Drosophila melanogaster: one gene and its partners. The protein of the gene in region 1 interacts with the protein of each later gene in a pairwise test. Each region holds a gene or a part of one and is shown in the gene's direction. Other genes may lie near its edges.

The links.
Region 2: the proteins of cm (region 1) and CG4554 interact in a two-hybrid assay, tested with the Drosophila melanogaster proteins (one large-scale study listed by BioGRID).
Region 3: the proteins of cm (region 1) and Usf interact in a two-hybrid assay, tested with the Drosophila melanogaster proteins (one large-scale study listed by BioGRID).
Region 4: the proteins of cm (region 1) and Rpt4R interact in a two-hybrid assay, tested with the Drosophila melanogaster proteins (one large-scale study listed by BioGRID).

What each region holds. Positions count from the first base shown.
Region 1 is NC_004354.4:7,008,481-7,012,789, reverse strand, and holds cm (carmine), read left to right. Parts: upstream 1-1,644; 5' UTR 1,645-1,698; coding exon 1,699-1,733; intron 1,734-1,802; coding exon 1,803-1,890; intron 1,891-1,945; coding exon 1,946-2,271; intron 2,272-2,347; coding exon 2,348-2,507; intron 2,508-2,563; coding exon 2,564-3,016; intron 3,017-3,126; coding exon 3,127-3,312; 3' UTR 3,313-3,784; downstream 3,785-4,309. Other genes in the region: CG3032 (uncharacterized protein), read left to right, coding at 1-502; sloth2 (sloth 2), read right to left, coding at 696-881; sloth1 (sloth 1), read right to left, coding at 887-972, 1,034-1,187.
Region 2 is NT_033778.4:22,481,722-22,486,304, forward strand, and holds the start of CG4554 (uncharacterized protein), read left to right. Parts: upstream 1-1,581; 5' UTR 1,582-1,697; coding exon 1,698-1,742; intron 1,743-1,807; coding exon 1,808-4,172; intron 4,173-4,235; coding exon 4,236-4,583. Other genes in the region: CG4752 (uncharacterized protein), read left to right, coding at 1-1,064, 1,123-1,275.
Region 3 is NC_004354.4:4,544,109-4,550,599, reverse strand, and holds Usf (Usf), read left to right. Parts: upstream 1-1,805; 5' UTR 1,806-2,171; coding exon 2,172-3,214; intron 3,215-3,775; coding exon 3,776-4,046; 3' UTR 4,047-5,983; downstream 5,984-6,491. Other genes in the region: CG11436 (uncharacterized protein), read left to right, coding at 1-190; CG15912 (uncharacterized protein), read right to left, coding at 786-1,526; CG3568 (uncharacterized protein), read right to left, coding at 6,196-6,366, 6,424-6,491.
Region 4 is NT_037436.4:11,939,985-11,943,985, forward strand, and holds Rpt4R (regulatory particle triple-A ATPase 4-related), read left to right. Parts: upstream 1-1,927; 5' UTR 1,928-2,119; coding exon 2,120-2,737; intron 2,738-2,809; coding exon 2,810-3,388; 3' UTR 3,389-3,501; downstream 3,502-4,001. Other genes in the region: CG5883 (uncharacterized protein), read right to left, coding at 3,732-4,001.

The sequences.
Region 1 (4,309 bases):
GAATCTTAAATACCACCTTAAGACAAAGCATCCCACGGAGGACGAGGTGGCCGCCAGGGAGGGCGGCGCCGGAGAGCGCCATTTCTGCGACATTTGTCAAAAGGAGTTCCATTCACGATACACCCTCAAGTACCACACTTTGCAGCAGCACGAGGTGCAGGAAGAGTTGCCCCACGAATGCCAGGTCTGTGGACGCCGGATGGCCAAGAAGTTCATGCTGCTGCAGCACATGCTGATGCACTCGAACGACAAGTTGCCCTGCGAGCACTGCGGCAGAAGATTTGCCAGGCGATTCGAGCTCGAAGCCCATGTGAGAGCAGTCCACTTAAAGCTGAAACCCTTTCCCTGTCACCACTGTCCGGAGAGCTTTGCTTCTAGGAAAACCCTGCGGCACCATGAGTACATACACACGGGTGAGAAGCCCTACATTTGCGACACCTGTGGACAGGCCTTCCGGCAGCAGACGTGTCTTAAAAACCACCGGAAGGTGCACGAGAAGTAGTCTTAGCTAGCCTTAGTGGAAAAGATTTTAAAATAGACTGATTAAGTGGAAACGTGGCGTCTTTTGAATGTTCTGGAACAGGTAACGCTCTTCGTAGGACATGAAGGTGCTATGCCAACAACCCTTTCCTCAACAAACAGCAGGCATTCACTTAAATAGCTTTAGTCACCAATAACTTGTCTAGTACACAGTGTTATGCAGATTCCGGTGGCTTTGCGGTGGGATCCACCTGTGTGCTGTGTTGCTCCTGTTCGATGTAGACGCGCAAGTCCTCCAGAGGCTTATAGTAAAGGTGAACAGCCTGCGATCCGGCCATCATGGATGCCAGGGCACAGCCGAGGAATTTCAGGTACTGGCCCCAGGAAACTCCGGCGGGCATTTTGCTTAGTTGGTGTTATTCGCGGCTCGCGCCTGCAGATGCTGCTGCTCTTCCACGTAGTTCTTCGCCTGGCGGCGCTTAAAAGTGCGGTCTGCATGGAAAAGATTCCGTATTAGTAAATAAAAGTAAGGTTTTAAGCGTAGCAGTCTCACAGAAATTGGTCTCGCCCACTGTCCAATTGATCATGGAGAATTCCAGGCCGGCGCCCAGTAAAAAGAAGAGCGGCAGGAAGCGGTAGACACCGAAGCGCTTCTTTCCTGGCCAACTGTCCAGCAGACGACGCACGGATCCGCTGTACGGACTCATGTGTTTTCAGCCGGCGGTTATATAATTCCGTGTTGGTTTCGCCAATTTTAAGGCGAGATTCAAAGGTGCCGTGTTTGTGTATTGCCTCCGTCACATGTGTGCGTTAGTTCTGTATATGGTTTAATTGAAAATGTTTAGGCTTGTTCCTTTGTTTATTTATTATTTGCCAAAAGTAAAGGGGAAACTCCACTTGCCTCACGATACAATTTCCATTTGTTCCGGTTCGCAGCAATCAGCTGTTCGATTAGAGATGAGCGAGTGAGCTAGTGATGAGCTGATGTGATGACAACACAACGTTAGTAAATAAATTCATAAGTTAACTATGTATAAGGCCCCTTAAATAAATGTTCGTTTATTTCAGCCTATCTTAATTTCAATTTAATGAAATTATTTAACAGTTACTGAAGCGCTTCGGGAGCATGGTAGTAGAACACCTTCACGCTGTCATCGCTAATGATTCATCCCTGAAAAAAAAACATAGCTTAAACTAGCAAGCAATTTAGGTCGAATTATGATACACAGTCTGTTTATTGTAAACAGCGGCGGGTAAGCCATACCTATAAGTGAAATGTGAAGACGATGTAATACCCATATACCCATATATCCGCATTTCAGCGAGGTCTTCCTGGAAAAGCATTGGCGCTCGGTTGTCTCGAGATCTGTGTGCGAATACTTCCTTGACGCCCAGCGCGCTGCTCCATATGTGAGTCGCCCGTGCCACGTATGGGTTGTATGCTGACCATATCTCTTTGTTGCAGGATGTGCCGCCGGTGATAGCCACGCCCCACTACTACCTGATTACAGTGCAAAGGGACACGGTGTCTTTGGTCGCCGCCTGCAAGCAGGAGGTGCCGCCGCTCTTTGTCATCGAGTTCCTGCATCGCGTGGTGGACACCTTCCAGGACTATTTCGGCGACTGCTCCGAGTCCGTGATCAAGGACAACTATGTGGTCGTTTACGAGCTGCTGGACGAGATGCTCGATAATGGCTTCCCACTGGCCACCGAGAGCAACATCCTCAAGGAGCTGATCAAGCCGCCCAATATCCTGCGCACCATTGCCAACACGGTGACGGGCAAGAGCAAGTAAGTTGAATGATGCTCCCTCCGTCTTTGTCTTTCATTTACCTTAATAATCCAATTAATAATCCGATTTCCGAAGTGTAAGCACTACTTTGCCCTCGGGTCAGCTGTCGGCGGTTCGCTGGCGCAGAAGCGGCGTGAGGTACACCAACAACGAGGCGTACTTCGATGTCATCGAGGAGGTGGACGCTATCATTGATAAATCCGGATCCACGGTCTTTGCCGAGATCCAGGGACACGTAAGTTTCACTTAAGTCTATAAAAATAATTTCTATCTCTTTTATTTTTTTATCAGATCGACTGCTGCATTAAGTTATCCGGCATGCCAGATCTGACGTTATCTTTCATGAATCCTCGCCTCTTCGACGACGTTTCCTTCCATCCTTGCGTGCGCTACAAGCGCTGGGAGGCGGAGCGCCTGCTCTCCTTTATCCCGCCCGACGGAAACTTCCGCCTGATGTCATATCACATTAGCTCTCAGTCCGTGGTGGCCATACCCATCTACATCAGGCACAACTTTTCGATCAAAACGGGTGAGCAGGGGCGTCTGGACCTCACGATTGGCCCGAGGAACACCCTTGGTCGCACCGTTGACAAGGTGAAGCTGGAGCTGACCATGCCGCGGTGTGTGCTTAATTGCCTATTGACGCCGAATCAGGGAAAGTATACCTTCGATTCGGTGACCAAGACGCTGTCCTGGGATGTGGGACGGATCGATGTTTCCAAGTTGCCAAATATTAGGGGATCGGTAAGAATAACTATTGAGACCCTTTACACTTTTACACGATTCATGTATCTAACGTCTTAAATTATTTATATTTTTATCCCATTAATAATATACTGTCCTTGCACGCCTAGGTTTCCATTACGCCCGGTACGACCAACATCGATGCCAATCCATCCGTGAATGTCCAGTTCCAAATCTCGCAGCTGGCCGTCTCTGGGCTAAAGGTAAATCGCCTGGACATGTACGGCGAGAAGTACAAGCCTTTCAAGGGCGTCAAATACCTGACCAAGGCGGGCAAGTTCCAGGTGCGGATGTAGACAAAATCATCATCCGGATTCCAATTCCAGCTTTAATTAATAGCTAACGTTAAGTGTATTCCGCTTGTTTTTTTTTTTTTCATTTGATGTTCTAGCCCTCGTCTCTCTCCCTGTGTATCTCATTTATGTATCTATATCTCTACCCATAAAATATTAACTTCAAGTGTAGTCGCCTTGTCGTTGTTCTTGGACGCCGTCGCCATATTCGAAGAGTAAGAATGCGAGAATTGATTGGGAATGAAGTTGCAAGTCTTCGAGTGGCGTGGCTTGGCATGGCATCGCATGGCAATGGCACCGTCGACTGCACTGCACTCCAAGTCAAGTCACTCCACTCGATCGCAGTGCGCCTGGCAACAGCCAGCGAGGAAACCAATAAATTCAAATGAAAATGCAAAACTTGATTTTGCAGCCAGGCCAACGCATTTAGCATACGAATAGTGTGTATACATCTTGTTTATCAATGTGTGTGAACAATGCGAAGAAGTAGAGACTCGCTAACGTACATTTCTAGGCAAGAGTGCTGAAAAGTGAAAGACTGATCAAATTATCGAGTTGTGACATTACACTATACCCCACGCATTTTGTTAAGAAGAAACCCAAATTCAATTTCTATTTGACTCTTCAATGAGTTTTTCGTTAAATCCCTATTAGAATCAGTTTTTTTTTAATGCAATTAACAAGCACACGAGGTTTCACTGTGTTGCCTCGTTATCTCCTTCTACAAGCTTAGCTGCATTTTTGCCTCTGGCCGAGACCGGTAACCGGTTTGCCCTGCCACGCCCCCGATGCATGCCTTGGACCGCCCCCCTTGACCCATGGCAGCCGCAAGCAGCAACAGCTTCTAGGCTTTTGGGCGCGGCGTGCAACGGTAGCCAACAAGCGCCACCGAAAGGCGACGTCGACCATGGCTAGACATGTTATACACACACACACACACACACAGAGAGAGCCAGCTCTTGAACGGGCACAAAATGTTTGGGGCTCGGACCCCAAACGG
Region 2 (4,583 bases), on another chromosome or scaffold:
TAGAGAATGGCCTGTTTCAGGAGCAGCAGATCATCGAGCAGCTGACCACGCCCACGGCAGCAAAGGGAGCTGTGGGAACCCGGAACCTGAGCGACAACCTATCAGATCTGAAGGCTCAGATCGCCGCCAACCACAAGGGCATCCAGCTGGTGGCGGAGCTGATCGGCAGCTATGGATTAGATGTGGTCCAGGCCTACATGTCGCACATCCAAAAGAACGCCGAACTGGCGGTTCGGGATATGTTGCGTCAGATTGGCCGGGATACTTTGGAGCGCACTGGATCGACAGTGCTAGAGGCGAAGGAGTTCATGGACGACGGATCACCCATCGCCCTTAAGGTGACCATCGATGCGGAGCAGGGTTCGGCTCTTTGTGACTTCACCGGATCGGGAGTGGAAGTGTGGGGCAACTGTAATGCTCCGCGGGCTATTACCTTGTCCGCCCTAATCTACTGCCTGCGCTGCATGGTGGGCCATGATGTGCCACTCAACCAGGGCTGCCTGGCACCCATCCAGGTGATCATTCCGAAAAACTCCATCCTGGATCCCTCAGAGGGAGCAGCTGTGGTCGGCGGCAATGTGCAGACATCGCAGCGCATCGTAGACACGGTTCTGAAGGCTTTCGGAGTTTGTGCCGCCTCGCAAGGATGCATGAACAATATAACTATTGGGGATGAGTCTTGGGGTTACTATGAGACTGTGGCCGGAGGAGCTGGTGCTGGGCCCGGCTGGCATGGAGCCGGCGGAGTGCATACCCACATGACGAACACTCGCATCACTGATCCGGAGATCCTTGAACTGCGCTATCCCATGATCCTGAAGAGATTCTGCCTTCGCACCGATGGCTCCGGCGGAAGAGGTCAGTTCCACGGAGGCGAGGGTGTGGAGCGGGATCTCCTCTTCCGCAAGCCAGTTACCCTGTCCGTCCTGACAGAGAGACGAACTCTGCAGCCCTACGGTCTCGCAGGTGGAGAATCCGGGAAGAGTGGACGCAATTTGGTGGTGAAACGGGATGGTCGAGTGATCGCTCTGGCAGGCAAAACCTGCATTGATGTGGAAGCTGGGGTATACTTTGATATGCATTTATTTGTAACTCAACTAACTACTTATCCATCCTTTTCAGGACACCTTTGCCATGAAAACTCCCGGCGGGGGTGGGTATGGACCAATTGAAGACTTTTCCAAGTCCGGTGAATCCTTGAATCAGGAAACCAGCAAACGATACGTGGAACGAGGAACTGTCTTTAATTATCTTCAGTGCCAGGAGTCTGCCTAAGCAAATTTTTGATTTCGCTTTTATATGTGCCATATTAATAAATGTCCCTTGACTTTTGAAACACTGAGTTATTTTTTTAAAAGACCTTATCAAACAAACAAACTGAGTGGCGCATATTACAGCGAGCTGTGGAAAATTGCATATAAAATGTTCAGTTAATATTCAATTAATTTTTATTTAATGAAGATTCTATAAAGTTAAATTGTTTCGAAGACCATTTAAAAAAGTGCGCCATTTCGGAACGATATGCTGTACTATCGATATTTTCAAGCGAACATATGTTTTCAGTAAGTGCAATCGCCGACTGTCTATCGATAACAGTGCGTAAATATGTTTCGCACGTGTTGCATTTGAAAGAAAATTGTCCGTAAACAAAAGAGTTTTTTCCGTAAATTAAGCAGTCGAGTGTAAACTGTAGAAACATGGCATCTTTAGCGGAAAAAACGAAGGACACCAATACCTTTCGGGTGAGTGTCCCCAGAAGTCTCGAGTTGTTTGGTGACCAACCGCCTTACACGTTTTTCACCCGCAGTTCAAATCTTTCGGAGATCGGGTGAATGAAATCGACCTGCGGCACTTGGCCCTCTACCACATCGGCCATCGGAACGAGGAGCTCGACGAAGAGGAGAATGCCACCTACTTCCAGCAGACGATTCAGAAATGGAACGTGCTCAATCTCTCCGAGGAGTACAACTACTTCAGCAAGCGCTGTCGCAAGATAGTCACCCTGCCGCAGCTGCTGCACCAGAAGGATTTTGTTGTAGACTTGCTCCTGGAACGTCTTTCCACCGCCACGAATTTGTCCCAACAGCCGCTGTTGGAACTGCTCTATGTCCTGGCCAAGGATCTCCGTGAGGAGTTCTACCCGTACTTCCAGCGAGTCCTGGACCGACTTATCTGCCTGCTGAACACCCAAGACTCCGAGCAACTGGAATGGACGCTCATCTGCCTGGCGCATTTGTTCAAGACGCTCAAGCCTTATTTGAAGCGCAACATAGGTGTTGTCTTCAATGCAATTCTACCGCTTCTGGATGAACAGCACTATGCCGAGCATGTGACCAACTTTGCGGTAGAATGCTTTGCCTACATTGCTCGTGATGTCCGTGATTTCCCGCGTTTCCTGACCTATGTGCTGAAGACTGTGTTGCGTGAGCAGGTGGAGAGTGTCCACGGCTGCGGACGACTCATCTACGAAATTCTGCGCGGCGTCAACGGACAGCTGCACAACTCGGCGGCCGAAATCTTTGCCCACGTCCTGGAGGTGCTTGTCAACAAGGATTCCGCTCACACCAAAGACCAAACAGAACTTTTGGGAGATATCGTGGAGTATTCTTTGGGTCTGCTGCTCAACTTTCTGCGCTCAGACCAAAGCAACATTCTGTGGCAGAAACTCTGTTCGGCTGCGAGCAGTGAAAGCGTGGATGAACAAAGGGTTATCGACTTAATGCTTCCCCTGGTCACCCACAAGGATGGGCGATATGTCTCCGAGCTTCCGCTGGTAGTTGGCACTCTGCTAAAGCTTTTGGACCGGGAACTGGATCCTCTTCAGCCCTTAACAACATTGGTGACCAGTCTGTTGAAGGCTCAGCACACTCAACTATCCCAGTTGGATGCCAGCCGTCTGCTGCAAAAGCTGTTAAGCATAAGTCGAAAACAAGTGACCGTGTACGAAGACGCCATTCTGCAGCTTCTGGACTATTCACAGTTTGAGATTCTGGTTCTCCCCAACGTTATTGGGTACTTTGAAGAACAGAGGCAATTAAGAGCGCGGGAGTTGCTGGCTCGCATCGTTCTGCACAAACGGCCGCTAAAAGTTGATGGTAACTCACTGGCCCAATGGGTGGCATATCCTCTCCAGTTAAAACAAAAGGACACCATTAAATTAGTGGAACAAGAACTTCTGCACCTAGACCTGACCAAAGAGGAACATCTACTTTTAATCATCCTAGTTCCCCATTTGAGGGGTTTTAACAAGCAGCCATTAGAACAAGGATTGCAATCAGTTATTGAAAAGCTCATATGCGATAACGGAAAGGATTTTACACAACTGCTCCTGCTACTTCAAACTCACGCACTGCTCAAATTTAACTTACCTAAGAGTTTGCGATCTTCTCTTAATGGTTACCTTATTCCTGAACTGGGAAAGGACATTCGAGCTTTGGCTTGCTTGCAAGTGGTTCTTTTACAAGGCCCCAAGAACGAGCTATCCACTTCAGATGAATTACTTTTCGGAATTGGAGGTCTTCTAAGCCAGCCTGTATCGCTATACAGACGCATAGCTGCCCACTGTTTGGATGTGCTTAACTCCTCGAGCAAACCAAATCCGTATTCCCATTTTAATGCCGCCGCCTGCATCGAGCCCACTGTCCACAATTACCGCGAGCTACTCCTCCAACTGCAGCAATTGGAGCCGGCATCTGCTCAGTTCAAACAGTTCTCCCAGTTGCCACATTTCAAGGAGCACGCCGTTAGCCTCTTACTTGGCCTTTTATACAACAATTTCAAGTTTGTGTGGGCTCCGGTTCAACAGCTCCTGGCTGCCTACGTCAAGACCATGACAGTGGATGAGTTCTGGACATTATTTAAGGCCAAGTTAGTCGATACTGTTGCCTGCATAGACTACAAGAAGGAAGTTACAACATTGCAAGTGCCATATCAAAGGGACTACCAATCGGCAGCACTAACCATGCTCCTGACTTTGCCTGGGGAGCAACAATTGACCCTTCAGCAGGCCCTCAACTACCGCCAGCTTCTATGGCAAAGCGTGCCCAAATTGGGCACACTTGCTGAGGTAAAGAATGCTGATTTGGTGCGATTGTTTCTGCAGTTTGTGGATAACGAATATCGCGCACAATTGGAGAAATCGGAGCATACTTGGAATGTGAACGAGGCGACGGGTAAGTTAATTAAATGAATATCCATTATCCATCAGTTTTTCAAAGCTGTTCACTCTACTTTAGCTGCGGATATTGACGTTGAGGAGGATGATGAAAATGAAAACAATGAAACCAAACCCGAGCCCCGAGGCCGTCAAAAGAGGAGAACCCAAAATGCCCACACAAAGTTTATTCTGCAAACGCTTCAGTTAAAACTTGCCTGTTTCGTATCCCAGCCCAACCCCAAGGCTTTGCATCGTCAGGCGGAGATGCATGACTTTTATCTGGAGCTTCTAGCCGGCCCTAACTCCCAGTTACAACAATTGGCTTTGGATTGCCTTGCGGCCTACAAGCAACCAGCAGCTCTGGTGCAACAAAAGGCTCAGTTATCGGGGCTTATTGATGAAGAAAAATTCAAAACAACGCTCAGTG
Region 3 (6,491 bases), 2.5 Mb from region 1:
CTTCTATTCGGACATGCAAATGCGATTGGAGAGCAAGGATGTGGACATTGATGTGCTGGAACGGGATCTAAAGGCCAATACGGATGCGGTCATTCGCCAGGTGTCCACCGAAATCCGGAAACAGTTCAATTTGGAGCAGCTTAAGGCGGCCAAGGCCCAAATGCCTGCGAAGGCGACAAAGGCTACATAGTAATGATTGCCATTACAAACAGATGGACTGGCACATTCCCTTCACAAAGCAACCAAATATTTTTGGTCACAAAATAGCTTGTACGATTAATCTGTTCTTAATTAGTATTTAGGTATGTGTGCAAGAGACGTGTGCGAGTGTGTGTGTGTGTGTGTATAGGATAAGTTTTCAGGTATAGTTTTATCAGGCTTTATACACGGAAATGTTCGAAAGGAGGAGGTTCTTTCGATGCATAATACAGCATCGTTATGTCACTTTAATTAATAATATCTTTTAATGAATATTTAAACAACGACTTTTTCACATTCGATAAGAAATAAGCTTTGAATTGTATTCAACTAAGAACTCTTTTGTTTATTTCTGTTTTCAGACAGCTTATTTTTATATTTGTTATATTATGTTTTATATTTGTCCAAAACCTCCTACCTCGAATTTCCCAAAAAAATATCATTAAGATCGCGTATTTATATTTACCACTAGTTTTACATTCAGTTATGTTATCTTAATGCAAAAAAAAAAGGAAATCTACAAAAATAACAACAGCCATTATCCAATCGAAGAACTGCAGGTTCCCGAGAGGAGTTTCTTTGGTGGATTACCATCGGATTGGTTGGGTTTTTAAGGCCTCCAACAGACTGGAAAGACTGGCAAAAGAATGGGGATTGTCAGCGTTGCTCACAAGCAAACCGCTCCAGCCGCAATTCCGGGCACCTTCATAGTCCATATCCAACTTGTTGCCAATGTGAAGGGCCTGCTCCGCTGGAATTTGCAATCTCTGCAGCGGAATTTCGAAGATACCGCGTTCGGGCTTCATAACACCGGCTTCGTAGGAAGTCAGAATGAAATCGAATTTGCCGGCAAAGCCCATGGCGTCCAGGACTTGTGGCAGTGACGAATCGAAATTGGAGATGATGCCCACACATTTGCCGGCATTTCGGACGTTCTGCACCAACTCCTGGGCACCATTCACGTGACTCCAACAGGCGCTGGTCCGAAAAACGGAAATTAGCCGCTGGCCGATCTTCTCCAGCTTCTCGGGCGCCAGACCGTGGTCCACGCAGCTAAAGGTTCGAGCCACCAGCTGAAGCCACCAACGCTGCCAATCCAATCCCGGCGAGTAACGGCCAAAGTTTGGATGTTCGCTGCTCATCGCCTTGAATTGCTGGCGAAAGCATTGTTCCAATCGGCGGCGATCCACTCCGGTGACCCCGAACTCCTCTGCCGTCTGATGGTACTGGCGAAGGGGATCCTCCAGGCGAAGCAGCGTGTCCGTTACATCGAAGGTCACCAGGCGAAAGCGTTTCAAATTCGCAACAAATTGCGAAGTCAACGACATTTTGGCCAACAGTGTGGTATTGTTTGTCCACTAGATATTACGTATATGCATTTGGTATATTTTAATTTTCGAAAAACCTCCAAAAACACATTTGCTTAGTTGAGAATCGTTTATTGAATTAAATGAAGATGCTTTTCTTCATTTTAAAGTTACAGATTTTCTACTTGTATGAAGAGTTTATTTTTTTTTTTGAATACAAACAATTATTTGGAAATGCCGCAAAAATACATTGCCTAAATTCTGGTATTTTTCGCAACAACTGTACTGTGTGTATTTGTCGGCATATATTTGCTGCCCGCCGGCGGGCACACTAAGCCAAACGAAAATAATTTTGTTACAAAAAAAATCAACAAATCGTATTGTTAAATGGCCGTGCGAACACGAACGACCATAAATCCGCCGCAGCGCTCGATTTCAAATCAAATCCTCGAGGCAGTCGGTAGTTAATAATACCGCAGAGCGGCCAGATCGGGGGATATCTACCATCCATATCCGTGTATCCTCCAACTAGAGATCGGAGCAAATAGTGGAGGAGATCCCGAATAGATCCGGAGTTACGTGATTCCCGGCGACACGGATACGATTCTGGCTGGGATTGGGCTATTGGAATTGGTGTACTGCTAACGGCGGATCATCGATGCAACAATGAATGTTCACAAGCGGCCACGTCTGAATATGGAATTCGGCTCCTCCACCAGCAATACCAACACTTCCACATCCCCGTCCTCCGTAAATATCAGCAATGCGAATCCAACAGCTGGACCTGGCCTCATGACCATTACCAATCACCACACCGCTGATTTGTCAGAGGCCCTGGTCCACAGTTCCTTTGCCAATGGTCAGCAAAGTCTGATTCTCACCAGCGACACGGGAAATCCGCTGATGAATAGCCAAGGTGCTCAGATATTTCTCACCATTTGCGGAGACGAGAACTCGGACGATTCGCAGGAGTACTATACGATTAAACAGGAACCGGGATGTGATCTAGATATCCATTCGCTGCTGCCTAGCAATTTGCAGCTGCCCAACAATCTGCAGCTGCCCACTGGCTGTGAGATATATTTGGTCAAGGAAACCGGCAGCTTAATGGGTGAGCCGCCGACGAAGGCGGCCATCAAGCTGGAACTAGATACGCTAAGCGAAAAGCCGCTCCTTCCATCTGTTACAACTTCCTCCAGCACACAGTCCGCGGTAATAACCGCCCAGACCGTGAATCCTCCCATTCCAGGTAACATCAACACCACCACCAGCACCACTAGCACCACCACCACCACCAGTGTCCTGTATGGCTCCCATGGCAATGGTCATGGCCATGGCCATGCTCACGCCCAAGCCCGATCCCAGCCAGAATCAGCTGGCCAAACACCATCCAGCAAACTGGAGGCGTACAAGAAACGCGATGATAAACGTCGTGCCACGCACAACGAGGTCGAACGCCGGCGCCGCGACAAGATCAACAGCTGGATCTTCAAGCTCAAGGAGATGCTGCCCAGTCTGAGCTCCAGCTCCAGTTTCAGCGAGGCCAGCACGAGTCCCAGCACCAGCGGAAGTACGAGTACCAACGGAAGTAGCCATTCCAAAGGCAATGCCAGCAGTTCCAGCGGACGAGCGCCGCCCAATGACTCCAAATCGCAGATCCTGATCAAGGCATGCGAGTACATCAAGAGCATGCAGGGCGAGATTGACACGTGAGTGGAGACGGGTTTGTAGGGGGGAAACCACTGAATCAGAAATCCACAAATATTGTCCGCTATAAGTTGCTGTACTACAGTTATATATACAGCTATATAACTTTTTTGACTTGTTAATGGTCTTAAAAAATGAGTTTGCTTATAGATCTTAATCAACTCCATTCGCTCAATTGAGCTTACATCATGTATCGATCGCATACGGTTAGGAATAAAGTTACCCAAAGGGCGGACACTTGATCTTTCCCACTTTTTCCGTAGAAATGCGTACTTAAAGTGCTGATATAGGGCTGGTGTTATCTTTTTGCAAAACAAAATCCCCATTTTGGAGCGGTTCTTTTTCGCCACTATCTCGTGCAATATGAGCTGGACTCTCGAATGTCCCTGTGTCACTCAAGTCTTGAACACAACACTCTCTCACACTGATCGAATGCGGTTTCCACCCAAACAAAACCCAACAAAATCATACAAAGCCAATCAAACACCTGATCCACCGATTCACCGATCACCAAACATAAACAAACCAATTACTCAACTTTGTCTATCCCCACCAATAAACAGGCTGCGCGACTGTCTAAGGGAGACGGATAGCCTAAGGGCCAGCAACCAGGCGCTGCGCGAGGAACTTGATCGCCTGAAGCGTCAGCAGCAGCTCCAGGAACGCTTCCACACGGCCGGCGGAAGATCGACGTTTAATGTTACCCTAAATTCGCTGAACAGTTCCGCGACCAGTGATCTATTCGAGGGAATCGATACGACACCCAATCTGGCCGCCGTCTCGTCGCTGGGATTCGGCAAGCGTGGCCTGCTGATCAGCGATTTTGATGAGTAAACAAAATCTGCCTGCGAAATAGGAGTGGATAGACAAAAAAAAAAAAAAAAAAAATAGAAATGAAAAACATATGGGTGGACCGATTGGGTTGCTGGTTACGGGAATAAACAAATATGGAGGCGGCGGATGGACAAGCCCTGGCGCCTTCAACAAACATATACGCCCATCCACCAAAGAATGACGTGCAACGTACACGCAACGCAACACACGCAGTACAATAAACGGACATGACGAGTGATTCCTTGTTATCGCCGCTCTGTTATATGTTATATAAGAAAAGCAGCATATATTACATATGTGTATCGATATGTGTATATGGTTATGTATATGGCTATGTATATGCATGTACATATATGCAGTCGAACTTGGGTGACTCAAGCCAAGTTGTTGGCCTAACCGCTTTGACAAAAAGCTGTTCTCAATTGAGTTTAATTAACGAGCCACGGCACAACACAGCTGCTTTTGTATGTTATATGTATCTGTTATTGGTATTATTCCTAACCAACCCCCCCCTCCAAAAAGTGAGCGCCCAAAAAGAAAAAAAACAAATCATGAAAATAACGATCGAACGAATTTTTGTACCACCCCCATGCCGCGATCATTATCATATTTTGTTTAGAGTCTTGGAATATTAGATCACAAACAAATATTGTTGATAAGAAGCTTTAAAGCACGTTCTGTTCTTCCATGTTTTTTTTTTTCGTATTACATTATGTTTAAGATATACGTAGGTATAGTTGTTTTGATTTGCGCAGCGAATCTAGAACTATAACTTAGCCATGTTTCAAACAAACTCTTTGTGTTCATTCAAGAGAATTCACTATGTATTCACTTTCAACAAGAGATTGTTGTATTTAAATCGAAATATGTTTTTCAAAAATATCAATATTGAAATATTAGCAAAGTACAGCGCAAGATAAGTATAAGTATAAGTAATTTCTTGCTGAAAGTGAAAGTGGAAACTGAAGTGGTTAACAAAGTTTTCGATTTGTTGTTATACAGGAAATTAGTTGTAAGTCTGAAGTTTGAGTAACAAAAGTTCGATTGCACAGATGTGAAATGATTTATGTTCTCGGATCCTCAAGCGGTTTGCCATCATTATATACAAACGTACATACATACCTATGAATTACCCAGAAATACAAGCCTAGAAAAAATCTAAAAGCGTTAACGATACCTACCTATTGCATATATACCTTTAACTAAATCATATTTGGAGCATGTTTGTGCTTGATTTTTCGATTTTATTGTACTGTTTCTCGGCACTAATTACCTACAAAAAAAAAAAAAATGTAACGAAAATATACTATATCTAGTTATATCGTATATATATTATATATATATATAAATATATATGGTCTATATATATATATAGAGAGAGAGAGAGAGAAAGAGCGAGAGGCAAGTGTACATACGTAGTGCAGTCGGTAGAACAGTGGGAATTCGAGCGAGATGCGGCTATATAATGCCGCACTGCTCGCCGGGGGCGTGTGCACCGTTACAGATAAAATGCTATTGTTGATAAAGAATAATATTATATTATATTATATTTGAGCATAATGTTGTTGTGAATGTTATATCACTGTTTTCGATATACGACGCTGTTTCAGAAGTATAAGTATACAGAACAGAAGTGTTTTAAATACGATTCATTTGTAATAATGAAAATGCCAAAAAAAAAAGCAAAAAAAAAAAAAAAGAAATCAAACACACCAACCACACCAAAATACAAACACACTAAGATTCAGGATTTTAAGATATAAGATGGGGTACTGGGAATTGGATTATTTAACCCATGGCCGAAAACGAAATGGGATCTTGTGTTACTTGTTGCTATCTATATGCAGTACATTACAATAATATCACATTTCTGTCATTTGACAGCTAATAATTCTATTCAATTTCAATAAACGAACTCAGTAATGGTTAACACACACAATCAATTTCTCATTCAATGGAATTGTTGGCATGCGGGCATTGATTCTTTAGAAGAATATGGTGGTTTGTTCGCACAGCTGGCTTTCCATGATTCCATAAGTTCATATGTTCATATGTACATATGTACATATGTACATATGTATCAGCAAAAAAGCTGATCTCTTTATTGTAATATATTTTAAGGATTACATAGTGCTTAGATACATTGTGTTTACACAATCAGTCGCCTAGCGTAGTCGCCTACATGGAGTAGTCCGTGTTCCACTGATGCAATGTGCAGATTGGCTCCGTTCATATAGTGCACATTAATGTGGGGATTTTGGAGTTCAGAGATTAAAGTGGAACAGGCTGCTGCTGGATCCCCAGTGCTGATTAGCATATTCTGTAGGGAAATAAGCATTACAAATTGTAAACCTTAGTAGAGTCACTTCTTGCATACCGCCCAAAATTCGTTGCCAGGCAGGGCATTTCCATCCCAGGCGTATGTCACCACGGGCAACATGTCCT
Region 4 (4,001 bases), on another chromosome or scaffold:
ACGTTCGTAAAAACAAAAATATATATGTAACTTTGTGGATATATATCCATTGCTCCATTAAGTGACTTATTTTAATCTTAGTATGCAGGCAAAGGAATAATTAATTATTATATAATTATATTAATTGCCGTTCTCTTATAATAAATTAAATTTTTTCTATGGCACAACAATTATTTGTTAATAATTACAGGAAATATCTACTAAATAGACGTTTAAATTGGTTTTATTTAAACCTTTCACGTAAATGTGAAGGCGTTGTGGTAATTAAAAATATTTAAATATTAAGAAAAAAACAGAAAAATGTGGTTTCCTATTGTCTTGTAAAGCCAACAAATAATTATTTTGAAACATTGGCTTACTGCAAATTCCCGTGGGAATTTTGCTGTCTAAACAATTTAAAAAGGATTCTTCTTTATTTAAAGCTTAATAACTTGGAAAGAGAACCAAAAGTTGGCCCGTGAAGGGCTCAACAATGTCGGAGTCAAGCCATAATTTTTCGTGAACATGTTGGCCAGCCACGCCCATGTCCTCGACGGCAAATCCCTGCCACAGAGGATGTCAGAAGTCAAGATCGAAAACAAGTGAAAGTTGCAACAAGCCATTCTGTTTGAGGTCTGCGTTTAATTTTTTTTATGGGGACACTGTAGCCAGTGAGTCGAATTCGAACAGGACCTCTTTCCTTGACCAAATAACGAACTTTGGCTGGAAGGTCGGGAACATCTGCGCCACAAGTTGCGAGCCCAACCAAGCCACCGAACTTTATTGAATAGAAATTCGGTTTCGTTTCCAGAAACTTCATATTTCTGTACGTTATTGTTCCTTCCCCCGCATGAGATACTTTTGCTGTCTGGCGGCGATTTGGTTTCCAAATGTTAACCCTACCCTGTCTTCTCAACTTATCCAGAAAAGGGTGAAGCCAAGCACCACGAAGCCACAAACTTAAATAAGTAATTTTGGGATACAATTTTTTTTTTGTAATTTTCTAAACACAAAGTAATTATTTTTAAATACAAGAAATGGTTCAAAAGGAATGAAAAAGTGTTTCAGTTTCAAAGACCCACAGCCAGAGGCAAAATACTTGGCACCAATTGGCGCTGCAAGGCGTGTTCAAATTCATTAGACATTTGCAAACTGCATATTTGTCATGTGTCCCAAATGCGGGGCATTTCGACCCGTGGATGCAGTTGTCCCAGTGGATATCTGGATATTTTGGTCGTGGTAACCAAACCACTCGAACCAGCTGGACCCGCAACACGGAGTGCTACAAAATGGCCTGATTTATGGCCCCGGATGCCGTGCTGACATTTGGTTCCCGGCCAGCACCTTCCGACGCATTCGATGGCATTCACGTGCCAGCGGACTACTAAAGTCGAAATCACTGGCTCTGTACAATTGTCGATTTCTGTTTAAGTTTGTGGACACAAAATGCAGCTCTTAATATCCTTGTAATAGGTGACTTTAGGCCAAGACTATAAACAAGAATAATACCATCTTAAACTAAACTTGTAAAAGTCTTAAAATCCATAAATATAAATATAAAATGCCAAAATTAAAAAATATTTCAATCTTTTTTAACGCTCCTTACTTTATAATTTGTTTTTCTCATTTCAGAATTTTTTCTGCACAAAGTGGCGCCATCTTCTTTGAGCGAAAGCTTTCAAAGCTTTCAACCTTTGGATAAATGGCTTTGATTGTAAAACAATGAAATAGTTTTAAAAACAAATTTAAGTAATTCGTCATCTTACCTTATTTTTTGTAATATAGTTATACAAATATGTATTACAATATGTCTTAAAATTTAATATCGAAATCTTGGCGAATATTTACTGGCGTTTTATAGGTATCTACATTGTTGTAAGCATCAGTTGCTCGCAATAAATATATTTTACTTAATATATTATTTTAGTCATTAAATAATTTTTCTGTTGTTTTAAATTAATATTTCTCTCTCACGTTCCACTGTACTGTTAATAGAACTTTTAGAGCGATGTTCGTTGTCGTTTTCTTATGAACCGGTTCATCGAAGTGCTCCATCGTTCAAATTGACAGACGTCAAAATCTTCACGTGTGCACAATTTTAAAGTCACTCGGTGTAGTTAGGAAGAAATAAAATTCGAGAATGTCTGCTCCACTTGCAAATCCCCCAACAGACGACGAGCGTGTGAGGGCGCTGACCAATTACCGTACCAAGCTTCTGGAGCACCGCGAGATCGAATCCAAATTGAAAGCTTTGCGAGACAAGTACAAGGTCGTGAATGCCGAGTACGAAAAGTCCGAGGACGATCTGAAGGCTCTCCAGAGTGTGGGTCAGATGGTCGGGGAAATCCTGAAGCAGCTCACACCGGACAACTTCATCGTGAAGGCCTCGAACGGACCGCGCTACGTGGTCGGATGTCGCCGGCAGATTAACAAGGAGAAGCTAAAGCCCGGCACACGTGTCGCCCTGGATGTGACCACTCTCACCATCATGCGCTATTTGCCGCGGGAAGTGGATCCCCTGGTGTACAACATGACCCATGAAGATCCCGGAAACGTAAACTACGCTGAAATCGGTGGACTTGGTCAGCAAATCCGCGAGCTTCGCGAGGTCATTGAACTGCCGCTACTAAATCCAGATATTTTCCTACGCGTTGGCATAAGTCCGCCCAAGGGATGCCTGCTCTACGGACCGCCTGGCACCGGAAAAACTCTCCTGGCCCGCGCCATCGCCTCCCAGATGGACGCCAATTTCTTGAAGGTCAGTGTTTCACATCTGCAATAGATATTATAAATAAATATTTAAATTTGTTTCTAAAAAACTCACCCGAAGGTCGTTTCCTCTGCAATTGTGGACAAGTACATTGGCGAGAGTGCCCGACTGATCCGGGAGATGTTTGCATACGCCCGTGATCATCAGCCATGTATCATATTCATGGACGAGATCGACGCAATCGGTGGTCGCCGCTTCTCGGAGGGAACATCCGCCGACCGAGAGATCCAGCGCACGCTGATGGAACTGCTTAACCAGATGGATGGATTCGATGCTCTTGGCCAGGTGAAAATGATCATGGCCACCAATCGTCCGGATACACTGGATCCGGCGCTGCTGCGTCCTGGACGACTTGATCGCAAATTGGAAATTCCGCTGCCCAACGAAGTGGCGCGTATGGACATTCTTAAGATTCACGCCGAACCACTGAACAAACGCGGCGAAATCGACTATGAGGCGGTGGTTAAGCTCTCCGATTTGTTCAATGGTGCCGATCTACGGAACATTTGCACGGAAGCCGGGCTTTTTGCCCTCCGCTGCGATAGGGAGTTTGTCATTCAAGAAGATTTCATGAAGGCCGTCCGCAAAATAGCGGACAATAAGAAGCTGGAGTCTCGTCTGGACTACAAGCCTATATAGAAAGCTCAGGAGGCCAATAGGTGTTAACAACTGTATATATTGGCACATACATTTAACCTTAACACCCTAAAAAAGAATATTATGATGATTAAAGATATATAATTTTCTAACTTAATCCTAATTGATGAAAAGATTCAAATTTTGATATTAGAGGGATGCGTTTCGAACCCAATAAAGTAATATATGTTCCTGACCAGAAACACTAGGCAAACGAACGCTATGGTCTCTGTAATTTCTGATTAATGGATATCCGAAAGTTCAAAATTTCATGTATGTACACTGATATTGGTTTTTTATTTGCAATTAATTAATACTTTACGAACAGCTGGCAAATGCCTAGCAGTTAAGAGGAACAAGCTCCGTAAACTAAGTGAGTTGAGCTGCAGTTTTGCGTGACAACGTCGAAATACTTATCCTCACAGCTTATGGGAGTCGTTTCCCGGCCATCGACGCATTCGATGTAGTGGTGGCATCCATCGATTTCGGCCACTTCGAAGCCATCCTTGCGCCCATCACATCTATCGTAATCGCATTTCTGGCTCTCGCGCGGCATGCACGCCTGTCGCTCCTGGTTGAAGAAGTTGTTCTCGTCACACTGCTGGTATATGGGATC